Xenopus tropicalis: one gene and its partners. The protein of the gene in region 1 binds, or shares a complex with, the protein of each later gene. Links are inferred from orthologs where the notes say so. Each region holds a gene or a part of one and is shown on either strand. Other genes may lie near its edges.

Region 1 (5,754 bases):
TGTGGGGGCTGTACATGCTGTTGAGACAGCATCTGACGAACATTGGCAATCTCTCTTTTTAGCAACTTCAGCCGTTTACTTCTGGATCCACTTGATTTCATTGCAAAAGTCAAATCTAATTTTTCCAGTAGCTCTTTTAGCTGTTCTTCTAAAGCCATGTGTGCTCGGTTATTAGGATTAAGCAGCTTATCAACTAATAAGAGATACAGATGAAGATTGTATTTGGGGCAGCTCTTTTAAATTGTTAAAAACACCTGATTTATTAATAAAGACATACACATTTGTTACATCCATTTTTTTTGTACAAACTACTGCTGGTAATCCACCGAAGAGGAAGCTCGTGCACACCCTTGCTTTTCCGGGGACAGTGAGGTCCGGTGCTTAGTGACAGAATCAGAACCCTACCCAATTCAGTTTTAACATGGAAGCACAAGGTTTCAGAGCCACACCCCTTTATCAAGCATGCAATGCAATGCTTAGATGATAATCAGAGACCACTGGTCCGATTTGTTCAGACACACTACAAAGCTTAGGGCAAGGTCACACGAAGTGTATATATGCTTCTCTCAGCCCTGCGTTTTTCTGCCAGGCTAAGAGAAGCAGATCAGTTTCCCTGTGCTACTGCCTTAAAGACAACAGCAACTGCCCAAGTGTGGGCACGCAGTGGATCGGAGGTTGGCCTGGAAAACATCCACTTTCGTGTTTTTCATGCCGCCCTCCGATCCACTCTGCGTGCTCGCAATTGTGGGAGTTAATGCAGGCACACAGAGGAGCGTAGGGAAGTGGATAAGCTTCTTTCAGCATGGTAGAAAAACGCAGGGCTGAGAGAAGTAGATATATGCTTCGTGTGACCTCGCCCTTAATGTAACTTTTACAAGTTTTGTGGAATTTGCTGCATACAGAAGCAGGCATATTAACATGTCTGAAAGCAGTTTTGTGCAAAATTAAATTAACCTTAAGGGGCAGTATCTGAGCTGAAAGTAATCAACAGCATCTTAGTTATAGAGCTGCTGACTTTATTACTAACTGCCTAGGGACTCAACAAGTGAACCTTAATTCTGGTCACCACTATTATCTTTATAATGAGAAATGCTGGTTACATAGCAGTAACTGAAACAGTGGCTCTATATTGAACTGGCACAGTCAATGAATCTGAATAAAAACTCAATAAGCACAGTATTTTTTTCATTATAAATATACGTACACATACAAAGACCGTATACAAGGTGGAAGGTAATTAAATGACTTACCATCCTCCCATGAAAATTGTGGTGGGGCTTCAATTTTTGGTTGTTCTGGTAAATGCATCCCTGTTTCCTCATCGAAGCCAATGACATTAGCCTCCCTTCTAGCTTGCCTCAATAAAACACCTCCATGGTCTCTTAACCGTACTGCAGCTCTATAGAAAATGGTATCCTTTGCATTGTATTTCATACAGTTCTCAATAATAAGGTTGAAATCTTCCTCAAATTCATTCAGATTTCTGTATCTCTGATCTTCTAACCGTTTTTTCATAGTAGAAAAATCCATAGGATGCTTTATATGGTCCAAATAATCTGGAACCTGTATATCAGGAAAAAAAACCCTTACTTAGTTTGTTAAGAGAGGTTGATGCCCTACATAGGTTACAGTGAAGGTGGCATAACAGCAAAATCAAAGCCTATAGCTTAATCGTTTCCTTAAAAAAACGAGTCAGTTATTCTTTAAAGCAGTGTTCTCCAACCAGCCGTTCATGAGCAACATGTTGCTCACCAAACCCTTGGATGTTGCTCCCAGAAGTCTCAAAGCAAGTGCTCATTTTTTAATTTCTGGTAAGGAGGCAAGCTTTGGTTGCATAAAAACCTAGTATAATACCAAACAGAGCCTTCTGCAGGCTGCCAGTCCACATAGAGGATATTAAGTAGCCAATATATCTCTTATTGCCACACCCAGGAACCTTTTTCATGCTTGTGTTGCTCCTCAACACTTTCCATTTAAATGTGGCTCACGGGTATAAAAGGTTGGGGATCCCTGATTTAAAGAAACAAGACTTAAAGCTAGGCAAACATGGCTAGATTTGGTCTGGGGTTTTGACCATTTGACCATACTGGCAAGCTGCTTGGGAAGGTATGTCAGGTTATGGGTGGGATCTTAGATTATCTGTCCAGTTTGGGAATATTTAACCTGTCAACACGTCGGTGGGTGTATGAACCAGCTCCTCTTCACTTCATGCGTTACAACTGTTTGGGCTGCCAGCTGAAGAAGTCTACAATGGAAAAGGCCCGTACATCTATGACCAATGGTACCGTAGCAGTCCTTTCCAATATCGCTTTTAAGGTATTGTGGAGGATCACCACTCTTAAGGGCTACATTGTAAAGCAGATTCCATTTATGAATATTTTTTAGACAGACATTATATCCAGGCTACAGTAATCTCAAGATCTACAAATTAAATGTTTTTATATCTTAACTCTGGGAATAATTTGGAGGGGTTAAACTTGATGGTCTACTGCCATTTTGCCTAAGATGGGGTTAAACTTGATAGCCTACCATTAACACAAATAAACTATTTATGAGCACCTTAATTGCGCATAACAAATTAAAAATACTCACCTCTGTAAGGTTAACAGGATGAGCAAATATGCGAGCTGGATCCTTTTCCTGTAGCTGTTCAAGAAGGGATCGTAGCAATACAGTGAGTGGAGTCAGTTTAAGTTCCATAGCAACTTGCTCAACTTTAACCTAGTGAACAGATTTTAAATAAGAGTTATTCATATAATATTAACAAAATAAATAACACTGTCCAAGTTATGTGATGTTACTATTTCCTTTGCTTAATGTAACCTATAAGGGAATTTAAGTGCAAGCACCTTTTGATTTCTCTCTATCTACAATCTAGAATATGTGGTAGTTAAAAGGAGACTGTAGGATAGACTTCCATGGGCATATGCAGCATAGTCTTCGTGATGGCCAACCTCAAAAGACAATAAGGATGATATTTGGGTTGAGTGTTTTGCATCTCTAATCTTGTTGTTATGAGCTAACAGGTGGGATTGTCACACACAACCAAGATAAAGGGGTTTCTGAAAAGGAGAGAGAGGATTATGGTACCGGTATGGGACCTGCTATCCAGAATGTTTATGACCTAGGGTTTTCCAGATAAGAGATCTTTCCATAATTTGGATCTACATAACTTAAGTCTGCTAAAAATCATTTAAATATTGAATAAACCCAATAGGATTGTTTTGCCCCCAGTAAGGATTAATAATTCCTTAGTAGGTATTGTTTTATTGTTACAGAGAAAAGGGAAATCATTTTTAAAATTTAGAATTATTTGCTTATAATGGAGTCTATGGGAGATGGCCTGTACGCAATTCAGAACTTTCTGGGATTCCGGATAAAGGATCCCATACCTGTACTGTTAAAGATTGAAAGTCGTCGTCGTCAAAAAAAAAAAAAAAAAAAAAAAAAAAAAAAGATTTATATATTACAGGATGCACAAACAATTTGAGAAAGAGTAAGCAGTTAAACCTTTTACATGTAAGGGGCCACTTGTCATACATGTCCAAAAGTTGATATATAGTAAAATAATAATACTGTGCACAGAGGTCTATGAAGCCTTTGAGCAACATACATATTAAGCATCATATTACATTTATAGTACATTTATATGAATGCCCGGAACCCAAGTTTTCCAAAAAGGGAGATTTCTGTAATTTCCATAACTTAAGGGGGGGGGGGGTATGTCAGCAGGTAGCATTTACTGGTCACCTATTTAAAAGCAAACATCTTATTTTTGTTATGGGTTACTGCTCCTTGGTAAACTTTGTGCCTTTTCTTACATATGGTAGTCTACTAGAAACATTTAAGCATTAAGTAACCCCAAAAGAGATGTTTTGCCATTAATGTGGATTCTTGTAGCTTTGTAAAGATACAAGTACATGTTACTGCTTTATTATTACACAGAAAAAGTAAATAATTTTTAAAAATTAGAATTATTTGCCTAAAATGGACTCTGTGGGAGCAAGCCTTCAATGAATTTGGAGCTTTTTGGATAATGGGTTTACAGATAAAGGATCCTATACCTGTACTAGTCCCTTACACCTGCAATAAACAGTCTGACATCTGCATTTGCAGGTCCGTTATGATTTCAATATTATATCGTTACATCTATCCATAAAAAAAGACAAAACAAAAATCAAGTATATATTAAATGTTACTTAATTTATTTTCTCACAGAGCCACCCACCAAGTAGCTATCTGGCAAGAGGAAAAACAAAAATATTCTGATAAAAAAAAGCAACAACATACCTGTTCACGCTTTAGTTTTTCACGTTTTCGGATAAGTTCAATCAACAATCGAGCCCTTTCAAGGTCATGTCTTAAACGCTGCAAGTACTTCAATTTCTTCTTCAGGGCCTGCACTTCCTCATCATCTTCACTCTAAAAAGTTATTTAAAAAAAAAAAAAAAAAAATGTATCCTACTGATTGAGACAATATCTAGTGTACGAAAAGCAGCCAGAAAGAAATACAAAAGGGGGTTTGGCATGTGCTGATTGTTCTACCTAATCAGTGTTATCTCTAAATCTAATTAAATGTATTTTAGTAAACGTAAAGTCAGCTTTGGGTTTGCATGTATGTATTTAACTGCTGTAGATTGCATATGGATGCTGAAATTAAATAGTGGTACATAAAAAGTTTGAAAGCACCGGCTACAATTTCTAGTGTATTGAATGAGCCCTATCTTGAATTTTTTTTGCCAAGTTAAATTTAACTGCAGTTACAGATATTGCAAAACTTTATCATGTATTGGGGGTCCATACCTCTTGTATATTCCTTTGTGACTGTAAACTTGACTGGAGCCTCCTCAACAAGGGAATGCCATTTCTTGAAAGCCTTTTTAACATCCAGTAACTGTGAACTCTTTCAATGAACTGCTTCTTCCTCGGAATAGACACTTGATTTATGATTTTATTTACTCTATATATAAAAAAAAAAAAAAGAATTACATATATTAGTAGAATTTACAGTAAAATAACTATTGTGGCCTTTCTTTAGACATACACTGCCACTGAAATCACAATGTCCTGGAGAAGGACTTTCATTATAGATCATTTCCAAGGTAAGCTAAAGGGTGTAACTGTTTTGTTAATGTCAAAAGCAATACAGTATTTCTTGCCTTAATTTTACAATGATTAACATGGGGTCCCATAATTGAATGCAAACAGGAATAGAGTATTTTAGAATATTTTTGGCCAAAATAGCCGAATGCTGGTTTATAAACATAGGTGCTAAATTGCAGTTGCTAATAGTAACCAGTCAGCAACCAGTCCACCGGCGATTCCCTTTAGGGCTGTGACACACGGGGAGATTAGTTGCTGTGCGACAAATCTCCCTTGTCGCAGGCGATTAATCTCCCCGAAATGCAATCCCACCGGCTAGAATGTAAATTGCCGGTGGGATGGCATACGCAGGGCCGTGATTTGCCTTGAGAGGAAACTTCAACGATTTCGGCATATGGAATCCCACTGGCGATTTACATTCTAGCAGGTGGGATTAATCGCCTGTGACAAGGGAGCTTTGTCGCACAGCAACTAATCTCGCCGGTGGGATAGCATTTCGGGGAGATTAGTCGCTGCAACTTAGATTTGTTACGCGCCGACTAATCTACCCATGTGTCACAGCCCTTATTGCTGGTGGAAGGGCTTTTTAGGGAGATTAATTGCCTGTGGTAGCAGGGATTTATCGTGGGCAACTAATCTCCATGTAGGACA
Region 2 (6,552 bases), on another chromosome or scaffold:
GGAGATAGCTCTCAGTACAAGTGAGGGAATACAGGATTATGGGAGATAGCTCTCAGTACAAGTGAGGGAATACAGGGGTAGGGGAGATAGCTCTCAGTACAAGTGAGTGAATACAGGGGTAAGGGAGATAGCTCTCAGTACAAGTGAGGGAATACAGGGGTAGGGGAGATAGCTCTCAGTACAAGTGAGGGAATACAGGGGTAGGGGAGATAGCTCTCAGTACAAGTGAGTGAATACAGGGGTAAGGGAGATAGCTCTCAGTACAAGTGAGGGAAAACAGGGGTATGGGAGATAGCTCTCAGTACAAGTGAGGGAATACAGGGGTAGGGGAGATAGCTCTCAGTACAAGTGAGGGAATACAGGGGTATGGGGGATAGCTCTCAGTACAAGTGAGGGAATACAGGGGTAGGGGAGATAGCTCTCAGTACAAATGAGGGAATACAGGGGTAGGGGAGATAGCTCTCAGTACAAGTGAGGGAATACAGGGGTATGGGAGATAGCTCTCAGTACAAGTGAGGGAATACAGGGGTAGGGGGGATAGCTCTCAGTACAAGTGAGGGAATACAGGGGTAGGGGAGATAGCTCTCAGTACAAGTGAGGGAATACAGGTGTAGGGGAGATAGCTCTCAGTACAAGTGAGGGAATACAGGGTTAGGGGGGATAGCTCTCAGTACAAGTGAGGGAATACAGGGTTAGGGGGGATAGCTCTCAGTACAAGTGAGGGAATACAGGATTATGGGAGATAGCTCTCAGTACAAGTGAGGGAATACAGGGGTATGGGAGATAGCTCTCAGTACAAGTGAGGGAATACAGGGGTAGGGGGGATAGCTCTCAGTACAAGTGAGGGAATACAGGTGTAGGGGAGATAGCTCTCAGTACAAGTGAGGGAATACAGGTGTAGGGGAGATAGCTCTCAGTACAAGTGAGGGAATACAGGGGTAGGGGAGATAGCTCTCAGTACAAGTGAGGGAATACAGGGTTAGGGGGGATAGCTCTCAGTACAAGTGAGGGAATACAGGGGTAGGGGAGATAGCTCTCAGTACAAGTGAGGGAATACAGGTGTAGGGGAGATAGCTCTCAGTACAAGTGAGGGAATACAGGGTTAGGGGGGATAGCTCTCAGTACAAGTGAGGGAATACAGGGTTAGGGGGGATAGCTCTCAGTACAAGTGAGGGAATACAGGGTTAGGGGGGATAGCTCTCAGTACAAGTGAGGGAATACAGGGGTAGGGGGGATAGCTCTCAGTACAAGTGAGGGAATACAGGTGTAGGGGAGATAGCTCTCAGTACAAGTGAGGGAATACAGGGTTAGGGGGGATAGCTCTCAGTACAAGTGAGGGAATACAGGGGTAGGGGGGATAGCTCTCAGTACAAGTGAGGGAATACAGGGTTAGGGGGGATAGCTCTCAGTACAAGTGAGGGAATACAGGATTATGGGAGATAGCTCTCAGTACAAGTGAGGGAATACAGGGTTAGGGGGGATAGCTCTCAGTACAAGTGAGGGAATACAGGGTTAGGGGGGATAGCTCTCAGTACAAGTGAGGGAATACAGGATTATGGGAGATAGCTCTCAGTACAAGTGAGGGAATACAGGGGTAGGGGAGATAGCTCTCAGTACAAGTGAGGGAATACAGGGGTAGGGGGGATAGCTCTCAGTACAAGTGAGGGAATACAGGGGTAGGGGGGATAGCTCTCAGTACAAGTGAGGGAATACAGGGGTAGGGGAGATAGCTCTCAGTACAAGTGAGTGAATACAGGGGTAAGGGAGATAGCTCTCAGTACAAGTGAGGGAATACAGGGGTAGGGGAGATAGCTCTCAGTACAAGTGAGGGAATACAGGGGTAGGGGAGATAGCTCTCAGTACAAGTGAGGGAATACAGGGGTAGGGGAGATAGCTCTCAGTACAAGTGAGGGAATACAGGGGTAGGGGAGATAGCTCTCGGTACAAGTGAGGGAATACAGGGGTAGGGGAGATAGCTCTCAGTACAAGTGAGGGAATACAGGGGTAGGGGAGATAGCTCTCGGTACAAGTGAGGGAATACAGGGGTAGGGGAGATAGCTCTCAGTACAAGTGAGGGAATACAGGATTATGGGAGATAGCGCTCAGTACAAGTGAGGGAATACAGGATTATGGGAGATAGCGCTCAGTACAAGTGAGGGAATACAGGGGTAGGGGAGATAGCTCTCAGTACAAGTGAGTGAATACAGGGGTAAGGGAGATAGCTCTCAGTACAAGTGAGGGAATACAGGGGTAGGGGAGATAGCTCTCAGTACAAGTGAGGGAATACAGGGGTAGGGGAGATAGCTCTCAGTACAAGTGAGGGAATACAGGGGTAGGGGAGATAGCTCTCGGTACAAGTGAGGGAATACAGGGGTAGGGGAGATAGCTCTCAGTACAAGTGAGGGAATACAGGGGTAAGGGAGATAGCTCTCAGTACAAGTGAGGGAAAACAGGGGTAGGGGAGATAGCTCTCAGTACAAGTGAGTGAATACAGGGGTAAGGGAGATAGCTCTCAGTACAAGTGAGGGAATACAGGGGTAGGGGAGATAGCTCTCAGTACAAGTGAGGGAATACAGGGGTAGGGGAGATAGCTCTCAGTACAAGTGAGTGAATACAGGGGTAAGGGAGATAGCTCTCAGTACAAGTGAGGGAAAACAGGGGTATGGGAGATAGCTCTCAGTACAAGTGAGGGAATACAGGGGTAGGGGGATAGCTCTCAGTACAAGTGAGGGAATACAGGGGTAGGGGAGATAGCTCTCAGTACAAGTGAGGGAATACAGGGTTATGGGAGATAGCTGTTAGTACAAGTTGATCCAGGGACTGGTCCGATTGCCATCTTGGAGTCAGGAAGGAATTTTTTCCCCTCTGCGGCAAATTAGAGAGGCTTCAGATGGGGTTTTTGCCTTCCTCTGGATCAACTAGTAGTTAGGCAGGTTATATATAGGCATTATGGTTGAATGTGATGGACGTATGTCTTTTTTTCAACCCAACTTACTATGTTACTATGTTACTAAGGGTAATGGTGTCACCTGTGTGAAATTACCTTTTCAGTAGGGATATGCCATTAATTATAAACATTGGATTAGCCCTGTGCCTGCGGAGGCATGAATTCTATTGCTCAAACATGCTCAATGCAAGGGATTTTCAGTATTTTATCACAGCCACTTGCTAAAAGCATTCTCCATATATCTCAGAGTATTCTGTATCTCAGCGAATATGAGGCATGCAGATGTATTAAAGCGATAGTTCACCCTTGCATTAACTATTAGCTGATAAAACCCTATTCTTTTTAAAATGGTCATTAACCCCAGCAAGAAGTTGTATTCTACGTATCTTTCTATCCATGCCTCAAGTCCCTGGTTCGTAAGGCAAATGGGAACCTAACCACATAGCTGCCCGTTTCCAAAATGGAGAGCAACAGAAAAATGAAAATGATTTCTCTGTGAAATAAATTATACTCAGATGTACTTGTACGGGAATATACACCTGTAACACTCCATGTTATACAAACAGCTGAAGCAAAACACTGAATGTACCTCAATTAGGTTTCCATGCTTTCCAACACTGCTTCCTTACTTCCTTTGTTTATACCACGCCCTTAATTATCGGCAGCCTATAGAAAACCTTGCAGTGATCGCACAAACCAATCCAACGACGGACTATAGCGGCACCGACAGGAACAACATACTACAATAGCGACTGCTATTAAACCACCTCAACCAATCAGTAACGAGAGGAAGGCGGGACCAGCAAGTAATTGGCGCGCATGAGAATCAATGAGGCGCCAGTCCTGACAGACATAAACTGCGTCCAATCCACAGCTGCACAGAGCACATTTCAGCCAACCACAACATAAGATGGAACGCAAGTATCCAATCGCCGCCTCTCACGAGTTAACCCACAACAGGCCTTGGTTTGACTGTATCTCTCACATGGAGGCTGCTGCAGGCAAAGCAAAAATAGCGCCGTATGCTCTGCACAATAGCCAGTGCCTACACGCAGCATTCTTCCAGTGCAGTGTCCAGAAGAGGCCCACGCCACACCAGGGGCACACGCCCACCCCCATACGCAGCTTCCATTTTCCTATCCCATGCATCTCACCTTCCTCCGGGGCATCGCTTGGCGCTCCCCCCTTCTCCCTTTGATCCCGCCCAGCACAACCGAATTCGCGGTTGGCGCAGAACGGGCTTTTTCTTGCGCCGTCTCCGGGTAACGGCAGAATGACGCGCAGGCGCGGCCCCTCCCCTTGAGTCAGGTTTCTCGCCCTGTGCATCGCGTACGCACCCGGAGCCCCTCCTCCTCACCTCTCACTCGCTATTGTCTCTCCGTGGGAATAGCCCCGCGCATGCGCAGAACATGGATCTGCTCAGCCCGTTATACCAAAAGGCAGTCAACTGGCTCCTTGTGTATCCATGCGCATATATCTGCCGGAACTATATGTTCTTATATCGCAATATTATTGTATAGTTGGTGTCTTTTCCAGCCATTGATTCACAGAACCCTGCAGTCATAACTTAGAGCAAGAGAGGGGCAGGGCAAACTGAATTCCTGTGGGAACAATGTTGTTTATCCCTGGGATAGCACGTTGGAGATGATAATAACTACAATCTCTAGCATATTGGCTGCCAATATGGAAGCTCACTCGCAGAAGCCTATATTATCTTTAAAGTGAAATAATCATGTTTTCTTTCTTATTAATAATAAAAAATAATGACAACTTCTGGTATTTCTTAGTAAAATATTACAAGGCAATAGGTACTCTTGGCTCAAGGCAACAAGCACCATAGTGCCTCAGAAAAAAGCTCCTTGGCAACTGTCGCCAGTGTAACGGTGTGGTTTTACCCAACACACTTTCTTCTTTGCAAGTTTTAGAGTGGTTGTACCATGGTGCCTGGGCAATTGCTGCATAACATGTCCCCATTATAACTGTTTTTTTTTTTATTTTTTATCCCGAGGTCAATGCTTTCTGTTCCTAAGTGCAAAATCACATGTGCACAAAGGGTGCAAACTAGCCAGTCCTAAAATGGACAAGGCCACCATACTCGATTCCCACAGGCCAAAAGGCTCAGGTGAAAAAACGAGTCTTCGAGTCCTCCTTTGCTGGGGGGGGGGCTTAATCCCTGACCAAAAGGCTCCAAAGGGCAAGGGTCTTCGAACTCTTCTTCGCTTCATGGCTAGGGAGAGTGCCTTTCCCCTGGGGTCGGCCAACGCTACCCCCAAGGTTTCTTCAAAGTCCGAAGTCTTGTCTTTTGTATCGAGAGACCGGAACCTAATGGCCACACCGTCCTCCCCTAGGTCTGTGGGGCATACCCTTATGGGCAAGTGCACCATCAAACCCTTAAGAAAGGGTCACATATAAAAAATTGCAGTGACAAAACAAGGAGGTGAATAGCAACTGGCGCTTGTTGCTGTTGCAGATATCACAGTGATGACCACAGTAACTTACATAAGTAGTCACAATGACCATTGTTACCAGTGCTGTGGCAACCTTTACCGTGTTTCCATTAAGGCAATCTGTAGATTCTGGCAAATGCCAGAGGGTCTGCTGAAAGATGCCATAGTCACCATTATTGGGCCTATGGGGGGTTGTTTGGGCTGAAATGCCAGGGCCCAATTTAAATTTCAGTCCAGACCTGGTGCCATTGGTGACCACAACCATTGGCAGCTGCTTCATGGTCTCTTGCATGGTAGGTGGCTCATTGGTTAGCCCTACAGTAGTGATTTGGATTAAAAAAAACAACCCAGTTACCCAAACCAGCCCCTGCCTTTGAATAACCCACCCAAGCCCAACTCATTGTATTTAATAAATAATGATCCAAACTTACTGGTGACATCATATCCCCTGGCCAACATTTACTATCATTTCTGTAGCTTTTTTTTTATCATATTTCCATGGAAACTCATACCATCATCTAATTTGCAGCTGTTACTGTTGTTTCTATGGTAGCTGTCACAGCAGGAAATCTTTCACTAATAGCTTTTAACATACTTTTCCTCACTTATATCAGTGGCACCTGTTACCATAGCAATTGTTACGATGGTTGTCCTTGTGATTGCTACTATGGCCCAGATCATTAAAAGCAATGTTTTGGGTCACAATGGCAACTGTTTCCATGCTCTTATTGCAGGCATTGCTGTGGCAAATGTTTCCTTGGTGACTATTACCAAGACAGCTTTTAAATTCATCTCTATGGCAACATAATATCCATAGCAGCATTGATATTGTGACAACCAGTACCACTGTATACATAACGACTGTCTCAATGGCAAATGCAGCCTGCATATCACAAGCACTGACATTTCAAAAGTCCATGTTGTATTTTTTCTTGCATTGTCTGTATTCTTTTTTTATTCATAACCATATTCCGAGCAATTGAAGGCTGCAGTGGAAACTGTCCCCTGGTCACTATGGCAGCTCTGGCAATGATCAGCATGTAAATGATCACTATGGAAACTGTTACATAAATCACTTTTACTATTATCTTAATGGCGACCGTTAACTGGGTCTCAAAGTCAACTTTAAGCTGCACAATTGTTGCAGTAGCTGCTATG
Region 3 (5,754 bases), on another chromosome or scaffold:
TGGTAATCTTAACTTAGCAAATGCCGTACAAGTGATTGAGAAGATAGCTATTTTGAGCATTCTGTCCTCTACCTCTGGGTTGCTAAACACTGCAAGGATAAAATGCTTAGAATCGCTAGTGTCATCCACAGGTAATCCTGCATCTTACTGAATGTGATTATTCACATTCAGGCAATTTGAATCACAGTAGCATAGCAAGAACTGTAGTTAACAAGTAGGACATAGCAGATGGCAATCAAGAATTAGGCATTGCTTGTTATGGGATTGGCCAGCAGCATAAAATTGTCTCTGCAATACAAAGAGAAAAGGACTGGGTTCTGGAAAAAGCAGTACGTTTAATGCGGACAGGGCAGCACACTGAACAGATAAGCAGGTCTATATGATGAAAAAGGAGTGTCCTGTTCGACAAGAATTAGTAACCCTCTCTATCAATGTAAAGCTTTCTCTGGCTTTCCCTATTGATGACCAGGGTTTCTCTTGAAGTAGGGAAGCTAAAACAGATGCATTTTGCATAAGCATAGATGATTGGATGCTAGAGATGTCCATGCAAATTAATTTGGAATGGAACAGATATGTTTCTCTAATCATCAATTCTCTCTAAGGGCTCTGGCACACGGGGAGATTAGTCGCCGCGACAAAACTCCCTGTTCGCGGGCGACTAATCTCCCCGGATTGCCATCCCACCGGCGAAAATGTAAGTCACCGGTGGGATGGCACATGCTGCGCAGGCAATTTGCCGAAATCGCCTGCGCAGCATGTGCCATCCCACCGGCGACTTACATTTTCGCGAGGCTTTCGACGATTTGCCGAAATCGCGCCACCGCGTGTGCCATCCCACCAAGCGACTTACATTTTTGCCGGTGGGATGGCTGGTGATGGCAACTCAGGGAGATTAGTCGTCCACGAACAGGGAGTTTTGTTGCGGGCGACTAATCTTCCCGTGTGCCAGAGCCCTAAATGGACACAATCTAAATAAACTGAGCAACCACCATAAACTTTCCATGATTAATTGTGCTTAATGCAGAGAAAATACCAATGTTGCCAGTTTTATGGTATCACATTGCACTTGAAAAACAAGGTTTTTTCAATAATAGAATTCCCTTTTCATCTGTTTTCAGATGACTATACCCGCATTGGGTATAGTAATTCTTTTGAAGAGGTATTATAACACAATAAAAGGACTATAGTAAATAAAAAAACCACTGTGTTCTGCAAGTCTGAGACAACTGCCACCAACGTATACCTCATGCCAGATGAACAGTAGCTATTTGTAGCCGTTTCACTTTTCTATGGGGCAAGTAGCCTATTTCCATAGGGAACAGAACAAAACTATTCCTAAATTTGCTGCCATCATATAGGCCTAAGGTAAAGCTTACATGCTGAAACAGTAAAACTTCTAAATCATTTTTATTAAAAAATAAAAATAGTGTCCTTAAATACAGTTTTAGCAAATTACAGTTCTAAGCAATTTTTCAGCCAACCTGTGCCTATTTTTATTCTTGCGTTTCTTGTGACTGCTGTGATGGCCACCAGAATTGGCTGAAGAAGCTGCTTTTTGAGGTTTAACACCAGACAGGGAACCATCTAAATCCTCTGTATCATCTTGGCTAGGCTCATTTTCTTGGTTCTGAAAATCTGGAGAGTTGTCGCTCTCTGTTCCGCTGCCTGGCTCCCCTAAAAAAAAAAACAGAGCAAGACCGCATAAGATGCAGTCAAAAAAATCCACGAAAATGAAAACACACAATTCTATAACTGCAGCTAATGCATACATGGTACAGATGGGCTACCTACCATTGCCAACATAAAATGTAATGATATACAAACCCTTTTTAAAGTCTTATGATACTGATAAATAACAGCTCAAAGATTACTTTAACATTTCAGAGCATGTTGGAGTATGATGTAAGTATAAGGAAGGTTTTGGCAAAAAGAAAGAATAGTGGAGATCCTGCGCAAGACAGTATCTGAAAGTAAATCAGCAATAAAAGATGCATGACACATTAAATTATGCTCTCATCTCACTTGAAGACAAATACAAAGCAAAAAAACATATAAACATTACACTCACGTTTCTCAATCAGCTGGTCTTGAACACCTGCCAATGCACTGACAGCCTAAAGTGTAAACACAAATATTTGTTATAGAGCAATAAGGCACTTTCTATAGCAGCTTAGAATATAATATGAGCAAGTTGAACAGAAGGACTCGTCTAACTGGAGATTCAACACCTGAATGTGGCATTCCAAATTAATTTAAGGCACTGGCGTACATATGCACCCCACAGATTTTTTATGTCATAATTGAATTATAATCTGGTCCACAAACTTACTGGTTACCACCTAATTGGTCCACTTTTTATTATAAGTTGGACAGCACAGTTCTACATAAATGACCTGTACAAGAACCCAGAGATCCAAAATGTTTTTCGATGTGGCTATGCCCTAAAAAAATCTGTACATAGACTGAAACTGTAATTACCAAAACAAGATTACCATGCAAATGAAAAGATGGTCATAATCAGGCCTTATAAGTTGGCCATTCTAAGGGCTATGGCACACGGAGTGTTTAGTCTAGTGATGCCATCCAGAAGAAAACAACAGTAAACAAAATACCATTGTCCATCTGCCTGTTAGTAATTAATGAAATGCGCCAAATTGTAAACCCATGCAGTGGTGGCAGTAAGACTGTGGTATGAAAACTGTGCTTTTCATTAAAGAAGAACTAAACCTCCCCTAGACAAAAGCCCCCCATCCACTGCCTTCCAATGAGCCCCATCCTTGCTCCCTCCCCTTTGAGTCTATTTCAATGAAAAGTGTCTCTGTAAAGCTGACCTACAGATGCAGAATACCACAGCGGAGCTAGCTAGTCATTTTAGGGATTATAAAATAAAAGGTTTACTTATTCTTTAATGTTCATTCATTACTAACCATGAAAGCTTTCTTAAATTGTACTTACAGCAGCTGATGTTACGGAAGATTTGCTAAAAAGTCGTTCTGCTTCTTTGAACTTTCTGTTCCTCCTATCATTCTTACTGTTTGAATTCCTGCAATAGAAAATTTTGTTTACTAGATTCACATATAAAAATATATTTGGCACTATTCTCCAGCAAGCCCTTTCTCATAGGTATCCATAGTGTATGATTATTGGCAACCATACTGTTCATATTCATAGACAAAATTTTATGAAATTACATGTATTGCCAGTTTCAGAAGGAACAAATAACATTCTAAACTACAGTGCACTTCAATGCATTCTTTTTCTAAATACTGTCAGGAGTTCATATTTTGCTTCATATTGCAGCATAAATTGTAATGCACATTAACTGGAAAAAAAAGCATATTAAAGCATTGACCATAAATCCCAGATCTTTAATAAAGTGAGTTATAGCAGTAAATGTAGTTGTGGTTGGGGGACTACTGTAGTCTGTTAAACAGTAAGTGAATCAGATTAAGTTGTATTAATCTTTTCATCAAATTTCTAAAGCAAAGGGCATATAGGGTTAAACAAAAACAGAAGCTTACTAATCCAAACTTACTTTTGATTTGTTAGGTAACGGTCCCAACCTCTGATAATGTTACCATACATCTGTGTGTCTTCCAAGTAACTCCCTTCAAAAGCATAGATCTGCCGTTCTAAATTTGCAAGTGTCTCCTATGGAGAGAGACAAATCACAACTTTTTAAAAATGCTAAATATTTATGGACACAATATTAGGACAGTTGGTATATACACAGATTAAAAAACATTTGCAGGTCTGTTACATGATTCATATTGTGACAGAAGTCAAAGATTTAGGGGGTTATGTAATAAAGTGCACTAAGTTTGCCCAAGAGAAGTAAACCATAGCAACCAATTAGCAGGTAGAATTTACTGGTCACCTGTTTAAAAGCACACTTCTAATCTTATTGGTTGCTATGGGTAACTGCTACATCTTTTATTGCATACGGGGTTAGACTTTCTCAAGTAGGCTAAAGGGACCGATATTACACTGTAATTGCTTCTAATGTATCACCTCAGATACTCAAGTAGTTTCAATGGCAACCACATGTATCAGCATAAAATGCCCACCCACTCAGTAATTGGGTAATAAGGATCCATACAGTTCTAATTTACTGAACAGAAGCGTAGCACATAACAGTTTTACATGGGTGGTGTGTTGATTTTAACATATGATTCGTAAATATTGGTACCATATAGTATACAATTACATGCTGATGCATTTGTGAGACTTAGAAGCAGAGTCAGTTGACTTGTGGCATATGGGGCAGGGATCCAAATGCCACCTTTACCACTGCATTAAAACCTTGGTAATTTCCACATAGAACATGCTGCCAACAAAATGGATAATGGTGCTTTTCAAATTCAGCTCACCCCAACAAAGTAAAAAGCAGTGTTTTCAATTGCTGTTGTCAAAAGTTGCTCTCAAGTGCGTGCTCTTGTCCCAGGAACATTTGCGCACCCACTGCAAACTATCAGCAGTGTGCACACAAACTTTCCTGGGACAAGAGTGGCTATAGAGAAAAACAGGGTCTGCTTTCTCTGTAGTTACGCTACTGAAAGTTACTATATTTGGATCATGGCACATGGAAACAATATTGCATGAAAAACAGTGTTGTATTCGTAATTATGTGAATAATCACAGTTTTTTTTTATATGATGGGGAAACATTCAGTTAAAAGCAAGTTGTGAAGTCACCAAGATAAAACACTGCATTAAGACCCATCCAGGATAGCTGTTGGGACATATGACTGCTGTCCATTGATGGGGTAACACTTTTACGGATCCTTAAATCAAAAAGTTTGCTTAGCCAAGTACATAATTAATTGGTTAGAAATTTGTTTGACATTCTTGCTTTCCAACAACATAGTTTGAAAAGTACTCCAAAAGCACACCAGTTACGCAAATTGTGTGACAATTTACATAGACATTATCTCCTCAAGTGGTTTTCTGGTTTTGACCGCACCCTCTTACATCCAAGTCATAAACGTTATCACCTTGTGTGGCTCCAATCATGCCCTCTGTTCTGCTCAATGTTACATGAAAATTTAAATGCTCCAGGCTGGTTTACAAGTGGGTGACTTGACTGTGCAAGTCCAGGGGAAGGCGCCTGAAAACCATAAAACTGATGAATAATCCAAGGAACATCTGCTTACAGAGCTGCTGTTTCGTTTGCTACTTGTCAAACTGTGTTGGGTAGTAAACCATAAACCGAGTAATCACAGACATCATAAAAGCTAAAGTCAACTGCTTTTTGTCCTGCTTTGGTCCCTAGTTCTGGCACACTTTTGAGGGTTAATAGTCTCATTGCAGAGCAATTATGGTTATTCCAGCATTGTCTATTTTAGTAGCCACAACAAGTAGCTGCTACTAGTAGCTCCATGTGTCTTCACCCTTAGGGCTCAGACAGATGGGGAGATTAGTCGCCTGCGACAAATCTCCCTTGTTATGGGCAACTATGCTCCCTGAAATGCCATCCCACCGGTGAGATAGCATATGTGGCGCAGTGATTTGCCAAAGTCGAGGAAGTCAAGGCAACTTCCGCGACTTCGGCAAATCGCCGCGTATGCCATCCCACCGGCAATTTACATTCTCACCAGTGGGATGGCAGTTTGGGGAGTTTAGTCGCCCGATGACTAAACTCCCTGTCTGTCACAGACCTTAAAGGAGAACAAAACCTATTGAAACAAAACTCGCCATTCTCCTGTTCTGCCAAATCAAAACATACTTATTATTCCTCCATTGCCACTGCTGTCAA
Region 4 (5,754 bases), on another chromosome or scaffold:
AACGCAAGGGAATCGAAGGGACAGAGGAGCCGCATTGATGGATGGTAAGAGGAGAGCAGGGCTGGAGGCAGAGGCAGGAATAAGGCAGTACTGATTAAGGGGGATCTGGGGAGCGGTTTAAGTAAGGACTGTGCTGGGAGTATGGCTACAATGGAGAAGGCAGAGTAGTACAAAAAAAGGGGGGAGGGGGGGTTGGTCGGGCTGGGTAGCCTGCAGGGAGCAGGGCTACTGAGTTAGAGGCAGTTTTAAGCCAGGCCATGGCACTGGGAAGCGCTGGGCAGCTTCTGCACTCTGTGTTCAGAGGCAGGGTATCTGCAGGGCTAGTTTTTTGTAAAAACTTACGTGCCCCAGCGTCCGTTACTTTTCCCACGTAGGGGGAAGCCTGAAAAGAGTGTCTCCTGTTGGAGATCTCTAGGACAACCCCTGTTGCCAGATGAGTCTGGCCGAAGAAATACTTGAAGAGTGATGTGATGATCCTGTCTCCTTGTGGGACACTAGAAAAAAACTGGTGAAGGCAGGAAGTACTGGGGGGTATAGCAGCAGGGAGGAGGGGTTAGTTCTCTTCTTCCTCTTCTAGTGTCCTGCCTCCTGCTGGTACCTTCTATACCCCATGGTCCCTGTGTCCCACAGACACCTGTTAGAGAAACTAAAATTACAGGCCAAAATTCTTTTGAGGCCACATGTGGATAGGCTGCTCCACTGAGCACAGCCATACAAGCTCTATACTTCTAGTATCAGTTAGAACTTGTATACACAGTTCAATTTTGGTCCATATATTGCATCCTATACCAGATATGGCTGCATAGTTCAGTGGACACCTTTAATTTGCTAAAATGACTGCATGCATTTGGAAATAGCAGCAGACAGTGGCTCCAGGAAATGTTCTGCCTGGCTGCACCACTCTCAGTGTGAGAATTGCTTCAGTCCCCAAGACAGTGGGCTGTATCAGTCGGTGGCATCAATAGATGAAAAATGTTTGGTGCACTGGGGAGCAATTCCTATGTTTTTTTTTATTTTTTTTAAATAAAATTTGTCCTTGCATCAAGAAAATTAAAATGAAATGAAAGGAATGAACTAAATTCAGGATTCAGTTAAGGATTCAGAGCTTCAGCAGAACAAAACTGAAACCCTTATCATCATTCTAATATGACATTAAAACTCTTGGTAATTGATGGCTACAAACTTTGTTCACAGGTGTCATTTTCTATTTTTCTCCATTAAAATATGCAAATTATAGTTCAGATTCCTCCACTTTTGCAGAGGATTTAGCATTCATCAGAATCCAAAAATTCTGGATTCAGTGCATTCCTATTTTTAACAAAAATTCAGTTGATACAATAGATACTTACCATTTCCCTTTAGGTTTAGTGGTCAGATCCACACAGGCAAAATGGAACCATTCAATTGGACACTGTGGGCAAATAATTTAGGAAGTAATTACACATTTAGGTGCCTTGGAAAAAAACATACACCCTATTTCCTAGATAATAGAACTGTACTTCTAACCGCCTTGCTTTTACATGCAATATAAGCTTTGGCTATAACACATTCACTTTACATAATCATTAGACTGTCTTAAGAAACCGCAAAAATAAAGGAGAAAAGAATACAATGTGCAATAAAATCAGTAAGCTGTAGCAACTCTCATGCCCTTAGGTCTTTATTAAACAAAGCAGAAACCTATTCTGAAAGGTTTACTTTTTCCATTCCAACCAGTTGAAACATTAATTTACCTTAGTTTCTAGTAGTTATGCTGGTATAGTTTTAAACCTGAGGCTAAAACATTGATGTAACCTGTATTTCCACTTGCACTTTTCTTGAATAAGTGTAGAAATTTATTTCTGAGAATGTTATCCTATTGCAAAAGTGAAGACACTACAGAATAAATCCTCAGATTGTAGCAAGGCAGATCAGCTGAAACTGCTGAACAATCTATTGCTAATTTTTAAGAATATAGACAAAATATTGCATTTTGGATTTGAATTATTCTCTAAATCCAATCATACAGTACACACTTCCAGGCAAGGACACTGATGTATCCATACAATATTCTGAACTTATTACTTACATCTGGATTGTCACAACCAATCATTTCCCCATAGGACACCTGGTGGCAAAGGCAGTATGTGGGTTCATTGGGATCCACTGGCATATCCAAGACATCCGAAGGGGTCACAGACAGGACTGAATCAGCATATACAGGCCTGGCAAATACAAATATATCAGCAAGCCAGCGAGTTAGGTCATGTAAATTACCCATTAAACAGCTTCAGATTAAAAAAACTATAAATGTATTCTGAGACAATTTATTCTTCATTTTTTGCATGGTTTCTGAATTATTTAGCTTTTTGTCAGCAGATATTTGGCTACCAAGGTCCAATCTATTTACAGTAACAACCAGGCAATGGCTGGAATGAGAGACTGAAACATGAAAAGGAGAAGGCCTAAATGTAACATTATAATTGCAGCCTCAAAGGGCAATAGTTGACTGCTGGGGTCAGTGACCCCCTTTTGAGAGCTGGACACACAAGGGGAAGGCAAACTTAAAAAATATATAAAAATGAGCAGCAATTGAACAATTGCTATGGATGGGAAATTCTAAAACATAAAAATGTTAAATGTACTTCACCTTTAAAGTGGTCAGCAGCCTAACTCACACACTTACACAGCTGTACCCTTGCATTTAAACACCCATTAAATCCACAGCTCTTGCAGTCACATTAAAAAATAAGGGAGCAGCAGTTGAAGATACCACTTTTTAGCCCTTATTCAGGACAGTTTGGTGGCCCTATTGATATTACACAATCTATTCCTTTTTGAAAAATGTAATATTTTGGACAATTAACGTGGAAGTTACTATGTAAATGTTTTGTTTAAAGCCACAGCTGCTTGATAAGGGTGCAAAAAAAAATTGTGTATGTGGCATTCAACCTGGAAACTATAAGAGGTCTCACATAGTCTACGCTGTTACTAGAACAGTAACAAACTGATACAATTCCTCACCCTCCTTTCATTTTCTTTTTCTTTACAGTGTCCTCTTCAGATACTCTGCGTCCTCTTGACCCTCGTTTTTCTTTTTGACCTCTATTCTCTTTAAAACAAAAAAGTTATGTTTTTTTAGGATGAATAATTTTGTTTCTCCAATTTTGATGTACTGCTATTTATCTTCCAGAGTACCGTATATAGTCGAATATAAGCCGAGTTTTTGAGCACTAAAAATGTGCTTAAAAAGTAACCCTCGGCTTATACTCAAGTATATACGGTAGTTGCCTATGGATTCGCAGATGCAATGCGCTCCTTGCGTGCAATCCCCCCCCCCCCCCGTGGACGGGCTTGCAGACGCACGCGCAAGGCATCATACGCACCATAGCGTTGCACCATTATGGGACGCGCCGCTGCACCATTAAGGGATCAGCACAGAACCGATGTGACGCGCGTAACATTTCAGGCAATCCTTAGCTTTTGACCTTCAGACAGTCCTTTCACATGTAGGTAAAGTTTGGCACACAAGTTAATTGCACACAGGGGCATGTGCTGCTGCGCTCACGCAGTGTTATTAACTCCGGCTCAGTAAGAACATAGAAGTGGCAGCTGCCAGCCAAACACGCAAGCAGGCAGAGCATCTGATACAGGGAGTGGAACGTATTGGGTGGTGGCGATGTACAATATAAATAACACATTTATAAGGTTTGGTTAGACATGCATTGTCGTTATGGGGCGCATTAAACAGAATACAATATACTTGGATCAATATACTTGGTTCATTGGATGTGCCTGTCACTGGTAAGAAATAAATATGCTAGGAAGCCACAGTATTCTCCCACTTGTGAGTATTTCTGTGGACCTCTATTCATAGTGCACCATGTAAAGGGAGAAGGAGGAATGAGCAAGAGTGGGTCTTCTTGCAGGGATTTTTAAATGTTGAAGGAAAAGATTAGCGAGATTTTTTATACACAACATTTTGTAACTCACTCTTTACTCCACGTCCTGCAGGACTATCAAACTCTGACCCTTCCAGTTTTTCTTTAAGATCAGCCTCAAAGCGGGCCAGATCAGCATCCAGCCTTCGTATATGTTTATCGACCTATTAGACAGACAAATATATTTCAAAATAATAATTTCTACACACAAAAATGACATTATTAAAGTCATGCATGGCATTTGTTATTTATGGATTCATTAAACTGCTGCTCACCATTTCGTAGGTCTGCATGGCCAGTTGCACTTTATCATCACTGTACTCTTTGCATTTGCTATAGGCAGACTGAATTTTTTGAAGGTGCTGTACTCTCTGCTCAGGGGTGTAGTCCCGCACCTTAGCAATATATTCGCTTGCTAAAGCATCAATCTCCTTCTTCTTATCTATTAAAAAAAGCAAAAGGTACAGCTATAGTTAATAGGCAACTTAAACCTCCCAATAACCTTTGGCCCATTACATGGTTTCAATACACAAAGATACTATAAGAGGAGTCTGGTGAAAGTAATGTTCTACCCCACCTGCATCATTTTTGGTGTGAATCCCAGTCTGGCCTACTACTGAATTGCCAGCAATGTACTTGTAAAGAATGGCAGAGCAGTATGAACAAGTGCTAGCAAATAAAGTGTTGTCAGTCAGAATATAAGGTGTTTATATCAAAACAATATGTAATGTCCCTTCTTGGGTCAAAATCTGTCTGAAAATGTAGTGGAACGGCAGTTGGCAAAACTCAAGAAGGACATCAGGCATCACTTTGGTGGAGTAACATGTAGCAGAGTGGTTTGGCTTATGACAGTGGTTTCCCAGTGGCGTAGGCACTTCATGTGCATGCTGACAGGCTGTTTCTGTGCCTGTTAGTGCGAACACAAGGCCAAGTGAAAGGGAGGAGACTTGCCCTTTCCTTGCTGGCATATCTACGCCAGCAGAGAAAGAGTAAGTGCCTTGACCTTAAAGGAGAAAGAAAGGTAAAAACTAAGTAAGCTTTATCAGAAAGGCCTATGTAAATACAACCATAAGCACTCACAAACACTGATAATGATGGTGTTAATATAAAGTGTAAAGATGCACAAAGACTGATCTAGTCAAGAAATTTTCTCAACAGAAACTATAGTCCACATATAACTTCCACTGATGCATGTTAGCTCTTCTGGCACATCAATGAGTGAAAACAGGGCAGCATTCAACACTCAAAATTACCCTAATATATTACATTTTCTGTAATACAATAATATATACCAAATGAAGTGTGCCAGCTCAGTGCCTAACTTTCCAGATCTTACTTAAAGGGATACTGGCAGTAAAATAAAACATTTGATTATATGATTCTACCTCCAAAATGACCTATTACACATGTTGACCATTTTCTATGGAAAGCGCTTGTTTTCTTAATAAACGCTTCTTAAGATCCAGGACCCGACTGTGAGCCAAACCCGACTGTCTCTGTTAAGCCTGTCAGTCAAAGCAGGAGCAAGGCTGACGTCAGTCTCACAAAGAGCCTCCTCCTTTCCTTTTCCCTTACTTTGAGAAGCGTTGTCAATCATGTGACCCTGCCGTGATCTTGGTGTCTTCTCTCGAGACTGGAGACTGCCGAGTGCTGACTGCCTGTGAGTATACTGCCTCTGACTTATCTTATTCTACCGTCCTGATTGTGTGCTGCTCTGTCTCTCTCCCTCCCTCCCGCAGTCAAACAGGCTTAGGAATAGCCTAGAAGCATCAGCGCGCTTGTTGCTAAGCGCCAGCATGCGCGATGACGTCATCGCGCACTGAAGCTAGAGAGG
Region 5 (5,754 bases), about 58 Mb from region 1:
CCAAAATGAGCATAAGGTCCAGACAGAACTGTATTATACATACATTGAGCATGTATGCCAGCCTTGGAACCAGAACCATGGCAATGCTGGTGCCTGGCACCTCAGCAGCTACACACTGTGGGGACATTTATCAACACAGGGCAAATTTTCCCCATGAGCAGTAACCAGAGGGGACCAATCAAATTGTTGCAATAACTTTTCAACCTGCAACTGGATGAAAAAAGCAATCACTAATATGTTGCTATGGGTTACTGCCCAGTGCTGCTAAATGAGCCCGAGTGTGTTTGCACAGACTTTTGGGTACACACTATAATGCTGTATTCACATTAATGGCACTGCATCAGTGAGGTCACTTCCAAATCACAGTTGTGGAAATGTATTCGTAATGAGAGTAAAAAACACAATTTAACACTACATAAAAATAGGGAATGCACTAAAAACGGTACACCCCCCTACTTTATCTTCCTTAATTAGAAAGCTAAGTCCTAATTATGAATGATATATTTCCATTAGAAACATTTATACTCTAGCCATAATTCTTGGTTTCATAATAAGTCCCACCTTGCGTTTGAGAGTGGGCTTGGTTAGGATGGGTGGGGAATCAGAGCGCAGGCTGTGATTCTCCTCTTCTTCATCTTCATCTTCCTCTTCACTGCTTTCACTGAAGCGCCTTAGCTGTGGATGTTCGCTTTCGAAGCGCTGAGCCAGCCTTTCCTGTTGCTCTAAGAAGTCTCTACGGAGCATGGGATCAGCCAGTCTCTTCAGCCTGCCCCTTCGTGATCCAGAGCGGCCCCTCTCCCCATTTCGCCTAGGGGGCCCTGGGGGTTCCCTGGCAAGCAGTCTTAAAAGGTCCGCAGCACGACTGGAAGACCCAAAGCCTCTACCCCGCCGCCCACGTCTCCCTCTTCGGCCTCTTCCGGGAGGCTGACTATTGGCAGGCAAGCTATCCCGAAGCAAATCCTGCAATTGGCGTGGGTTCGGAAAACGAGAGTTTGGGGAGGAAGGACGGAGCGTAGGTGGGCTCTTCTCCTTTTCCAAAACAGGACAGGTTTCTCTTTCAAACTCTCTTGAGATGCTTCTCAAAACCTGTTGCTAAGGAGGGAGGGAGGGAGATAATTAACCGCAATGTTTCCAGCTTTATCATTATTCATTTCACACAACCAGGTTTCTGATTTGTACACATAAAACTTTACTTCCCTCCCCATTAACATTAAACTGTAAGGTAAGTATGTTTATTTAAAATAAGTATGAGCTAGACCAGTGATCCCCAACCAGTGGCTCATGAATAGCATGTTGCTTCCCAACCCCTTGGATGTTGCTCCCCGTGGCCTCAAAGCATCTACTTATTTTTGAACTTCTGGTAAGTTTTGGTTGCATAAAAACCAAATATAATGTCAAAAAGAGCCTTCTGTAGGCTGCTAGTCCACACAGGGGCTAATAAGTAGGCAATTATAGCTCATTGGCACCCCCAGGTACATTTTTAATGCTTGTGTTGCTCCCAAACACTTTTTCCATTTAAATGTGGCTCACATGTATAAAGTTTGGGGATCCCCGAGCTAGACTATGGCTACCAAGGGAAGGCCCAGCTCAGAGCCTAAATCAGTGATTTCGTTCATATCACATCATTCAATGTATAGCAGGTAAGTGACTGAACAAGACTAAGAACAGAAGAGCAGGCTAGCAGTATGGTTACACAGTCTGCCATACTCACACTGTTGTCTTTCAGAGGACTTCTTTGTTCTTCATCCTCCTCCTCCTCCTCATCCTCTTCTTCTTCAGATTCCGCTTCCTCTTCATCCGAGACCACAGAGTTGGTGACAATAACAGGTGTCCATCTCAAAGCTTCTGGATCCACCTCTACTTCCCGCGGCCGGGCCTGCAAACGACTCATGTGTGTCTGAATTTGTTGTTCCCGACGAACCAACACAACGCTGTACGAAGAAGAGGACAAACAGATAAGCATATAACGCATTGGTAAGGGGTGGGGGATTACATTCCCCAGTGAATTTAAAGAAAAAGAAGCAACAAGGAAGCCCCAAATAAGTATAACAGCAGCAGCAGGAGCTCACCGGTCTCCACGAAGTTCCAGCATACGTAGTTGGTGCAACGTGGCCGCAATGTCCTGGGGGCAGATACCAGTCAGCTTGGTGAGCCTTTTGATGCTTAGCTGGTGCTCTCGGTTGTGATGTAAACACTCAAGTACCACACTTTTCCAGTACGCCATGTAAGAGAGCCGACCCAGATCGGAAAGTGGCTTTTCTGGGGATCCTGCTTGCCCCTCTCGTTTAGAAAGTAGGTAACCTAGGAGGAAATAGCAAAGGTGTTGTGCATTACTATACATTGGATCATACATCAGTAAGAAGCCGATGCCTTCAGTAATGCAGGGAGCTTGGGCTCTCCCCCAGCGGGGCACAGTGCCTTGGATAGGGATCCAGCCTAAAAGCCAGGTAATATTTGGAGAGAATGTCTGCACTTCTAGACACTCTATGAAACCAGTCCTGGATGTCAATGAAGGGGACATATGGAGAGTAACGTTTGCATAAAGCGCTTCTAAAGCAGTGGAATACATCTAAGCAAACAGCTCCCATATAGTGTTAACAAGTATGTCCCCTCCCCCCCCTTACTTACTGAAGTCTATAAGGAAGCGGCCGTATCCTTTTCTCTGGTACTGTGGAAGAATCATGATGCAGGACACGTTGTACTTCTGCTGGCAGTGCTTCTCCTGGGGATGGAAGGGAAACACAAAGATGCATCAGAGCGTGGATCAGGCCCAGTATTATACAAGAATCACATACATGGCTTCTATGGACCGGATAAACGGGTTAGTGGGGAAGGCTTTATTTTATAGGAGGAGGGGGGTAGGAGGGTTTCTCATAGTAGGGTGCTGAAGCAGAAGCTGCTCATTCTTAAAGGCAATATTCACCTTTATATATGTATCACAATAGACTCTGCAACTGATCTGCATATTGTGCTGTGGGTTTCAAGTTTTTCCATTTTTTTTCATCAGCAACCAAGATTTTAAACAAGGTAGTTGCCCTAGCAACCTTAAACAGGAAGAGCACTCTGTGGCCCTCTAAGAAATGGACCTAATTCTTGCACGTTTAAGCAAGTCTGGCCACCAGAGGGCGCAGTCTGAGGATTTTATGCCAATCACAGTTGTACAATTTCTCTTTAACCTTGCATTTGCCTATTGGCCAGCCCTTGCTTGCATTACGACTTACCATGAGCACAATAATCTGCATTTGTAATTAAGTGTATATCCATGGAGTTTGTAATGGACTTGTATGGATCTGTAATGGACCACTGCTTGCATGCAACACAGCTGCGTATGGGGTGCAGAATGTAGGCATTGCAACAAAATTCCCTATTAGTCCACAAAATGTCACTTTTGGGTGGGAGATGAGAGACATTTTTACGCTGGGATTTCAGACGGGTGATTACAGGCCGGTGTCATCAGCACTGGCACGAACCCTCTGAAGCTTGCAGCTCACTGCTGATTATAAGGATGAAAGATGAGCTTCATGCTGCTATAGCCACAAAGAGAGAACTCCTGGGAACCAGCCTTATTTAGAATTCTGAAGCCTGACTAAAGAGCCCTAAAGCCTTTCATATTCTCTAGGACACAGCTTTCTGCATTCACCAAGTCATTAGAACCCCGTGGAAGCCTCTGATGTAGAGCTTCTGGCATGTCATTCTATAGACTTGGAATCTGCCGTACAATTAGAGCAGGGTCATCTCCGACTGCTGGCACTGACACGCCACCCTGCATTCCTTAGCAGCGCAGAAACCTGGCACGTGGAACCTTTGCTACTAAATGCTAGGGTCACCAAACAACCAGAATCGAAGGAGCCTATTGAAGCAGCCATCTCCCGGGCATTGCTGATTATCTAGATGAGAGAGATAAGAGTGCTGGGAAGGCTGATTTTCTTATCTAGAGCTTTTGCAACAATGCCATTTTCCATGGATTTTAACAGGGTGTTATCTCTGTTGCTATATGTTATGGGCCATTGGGAATTTGAAAGCTGAAAATGGTTAGAAGGTGGCAAATAATTTAACTAAAAAATAAAGAACAGTTGAAAAGTTGATAAGAACTGTCCATTTTATAACATAATAAAAGTTAATCTGAAGGTGAACCACCCCTTTAAACATATATGAATACAATCAACTATTAACATAAAAAAAAAAAAAAAAAAAATTTGAAAAATTAAAGTGAGGGGGTCCCTTTAAGAACACTGCCACAGCACTATCGTATCAGGGCTCCTCATTATTCATCCATTTGCTTGCCATCTGGCTTTGAAGGTAGCTGGAACTACGCGTAACCTACTTTGGGAAGAAGCTGAATCAGGGGACGTTCTTCCTTAGTGAGAAAAACACAGGTGCACAGCAAACAGCCCCTTTCCCTCACCTTGGAGAAATATCCAACAAGATGGCAGCCTTTCGAGTCATTCTGGGTCAGCACATAGAAGAGAAAGGGCTCCACGTCATAATAGAGGGTCTTGTGGTCGAGGAAGAGCTTGGCCAGAAGGCAGAGGTTTTGGCAGTAGATGGTGCTCACCTTTCCATCCACCTAAAGAAATGTTAATAGGAACATATAATCCAATACTGAGCAGTTTCACCTCTTTCTCCCCCCCCCCCCCCCCGCACCTTATTTCTGCCCATTTGTGGCTTTGGCATAAAGGTGACACAGTACCAAACGGAGGATGAATAAAAGGAAGCAAACAAAGCCCAGAGAACAATGCAGTGAGGTACTGGAAGCGGATGATTAAAGCCCGGAACAAAGGAAGGACTGAAGCAGCAAACACAAGAGCTTCGGACAAAATGCAAAGACAAGCAGAAAGAAAGCTGGTGCCGACACAGACACTCGGGACAGAGAAGTCCTAGAAAGAACAATGAAGTACAAGATGCACAAGGAAACGCTTACATGAAAACTTTGTGCATCACTGGCAAAAGAACAGGGAAGAGGGCCAGGGAAACAGATAGCACTCAGGAGTGTAACACATTGGTACAGCCGTGTGCGCTCCTGTGGCGCCGCTACTGTCACTGTGACCTACGTACCTCAAAGACGGAAAGGTTGTCCTTGCGGTAAATCTCATTGGCAGGTGGGTGGAACCAATTGCATTTCTTCGTGTGCTGCTGAAGCATTGTGCGGCTTTTCATGTATCGGAGACAGAACTCACACAAGTACAGCTTGGGAAGCCTGCAGAGGATGGAAACATAAGGTTGGATTCACTCGCTGCTTACAACACAGCAATAGGCTACCATATCCCTGCACAATGTACCACTGCCATATATCAGACTACATTACATGGAAGATAAATAGCTTCTTTGTGCAATAATTACACTGAATATTATATGGATGTATATGGGAAAACCAAAGACAGACACAGGTATATGGGATTTCTGTTGCCAGGTTAATATGACGGTGGGGGGGGGGGGGGGGGGGGTCACAATGACACTGCAGTAAGAGGAAAAAATATTGGACCAGTGTTACTCTGCAGATAGACGCAAGCAGGATAGGCTATTCATGAGTGAATCGATTGTGTCACTGCAGCAGGACGGACGTGCATGGGTGAGCCAGGCCTGGGCTATACTGCAGCAGGTGGCAGATACATAGTTCTGTGTTTATCCCAGATTTTCTTGCAGACTGGACTCATAAAACATGTCAATCTGGCCCCCAATGCTATAGGGCCTTTAGTATCAAGGCATCACATGTTTATGAGCAATAACCAGACCTATACTTGAAATCTTGCTGCT

Evidence for each region.
Region 2: the proteins of brd1 (region 1) and kat7 are in contact, whole or in part, in a crystal structure (PDB 5GK9), measured with the Homo sapiens proteins. The link is inferred for Xenopus tropicalis from reciprocal best matches to the Homo sapiens genes BRD1 and KAT7. Residues at the interface, in XP_047297239.1 of Homo sapiens: Val40, Ile42, Glu43, Ile44, His49, Arg50, Ile51, Ser52, Ile53, Phe54, Asp55, Pro56, Leu57, Glu58, Ile59, Ile60, Leu61; in NP_008998.1 of Homo sapiens: Leu531, Phe534, Gly536, Lys537, Glu538, Ile539, Ser540, Ile541, Lys542, Pro552, Val553, Val556, Gln560, Leu565, Tyr567, Lys571, His572, Leu573, Val574, Leu575, Lys576.
Region 3: brd1 (region 1) and meaf6 share a complex: the UniProt entries of both Homo sapiens proteins name them as parts of the MOZ/MORF complex. The link is inferred for Xenopus tropicalis from reciprocal best matches to the Homo sapiens genes BRD1 and MEAF6.
Region 4: brd1 (region 1) and ing5 share a complex: the UniProt entries of both Homo sapiens proteins name them as parts of the MOZ/MORF complex. The link is inferred for Xenopus tropicalis from reciprocal best matches to the Homo sapiens genes BRD1 and ING5.
Region 5: brd1 (region 1) and kat6a share a complex: the UniProt entries of both Homo sapiens proteins name them as parts of the MOZ/MORF complex. The link is inferred for Xenopus tropicalis from reciprocal best matches to the Homo sapiens genes BRD1 and KAT6A.

The regions. Positions count from the first base shown.
Region 1 is NC_030679.2:72,521,115-72,526,868, reverse strand, and holds part of brd1 (bromodomain-containing protein 1), read right to left. Parts: intron 4,961-5,754; coding exon 4,804-4,960; intron 4,423-4,803; coding exon 4,291-4,422; intron 2,722-4,290; coding exon 2,593-2,721; intron 1,564-2,592; coding exon 1,251-1,563; intron 194-1,250; coding exon 1-193. UniProt on the Homo sapiens protein: Scaffold subunit of various histone acetyltransferase (HAT) complexes, such as the MOZ/MORF and HBO1 complexes, that acts as a regulator of hematopoiesis.
Region 2 is NC_030686.2:14,503,067-14,509,618, reverse strand, and holds the start of kat7 (histone acetyltransferase KAT7), read right to left. Parts: upstream 3,653-6,552; 5' UTR 3,537-3,652; intron 1-3,536. UniProt on the Homo sapiens protein: Catalytic subunit of histone acetyltransferase HBO1 complexes, which specifically mediate acetylation of histone H3 at 'Lys-14' (H3K14ac), thereby regulating various processes, such as gene transcription, protein ubiquitination, immune regulation, stem cell pluripotent and self-renewal maintenance and embryonic development.
Region 3 is NC_030678.2:86,131,316-86,137,069, forward strand, and holds part of meaf6 (chromatin modification-related protein MEAF6), read right to left. Parts: intron 3,652-5,754; coding exon 3,536-3,651; intron 3,044-3,535; coding exon 2,956-3,043; intron 2,115-2,955; coding exon 2,069-2,114; intron 1,675-2,068; coding exon 1,482-1,674; intron 1-1,481.
Region 4 is NC_030681.2:125,709,048-125,714,801, forward strand, and holds part of ing5 (inhibitor of growth protein 5), read right to left. Parts: intron 4,363-5,754; coding exon 4,196-4,362; intron 4,085-4,195; coding exon 3,973-4,084; intron 3,092-3,972; coding exon 3,004-3,091; intron 2,205-3,003; coding exon 2,069-2,204; intron 1,412-2,068; coding exon 1,350-1,411; intron 1-1,349. UniProt on the Homo sapiens protein: Component of the HBO1 complex, which specifically mediates acetylation of histone H3 at 'Lys-14' (H3K14ac) and, to a lower extent, acetylation of histone H4. Component of the MOZ/MORF complex which has a histone H3 acetyltransferase activity.
Region 5 is NC_030679.2:130,477,382-130,483,135, forward strand, and holds part of kat6a (histone acetyltransferase KAT6A), read right to left. Parts: intron 5,198-5,754; coding exon 5,056-5,197; intron 4,568-5,055; coding exon 4,406-4,567; intron 2,723-4,405; coding exon 2,629-2,722; intron 2,302-2,628; coding exon 2,070-2,301; intron 1,932-2,069; coding exon 1,712-1,931; intron 1,093-1,711; coding exon 562-1,092; intron 1-561. UniProt on the Homo sapiens protein: Histone acetyltransferase that acetylates lysine residues in histone H3 and histone H4 (in vitro). Component of the MOZ/MORF complex which has a histone H3 acetyltransferase activity. May act as a transcriptional coactivator for RUNX1 and RUNX2.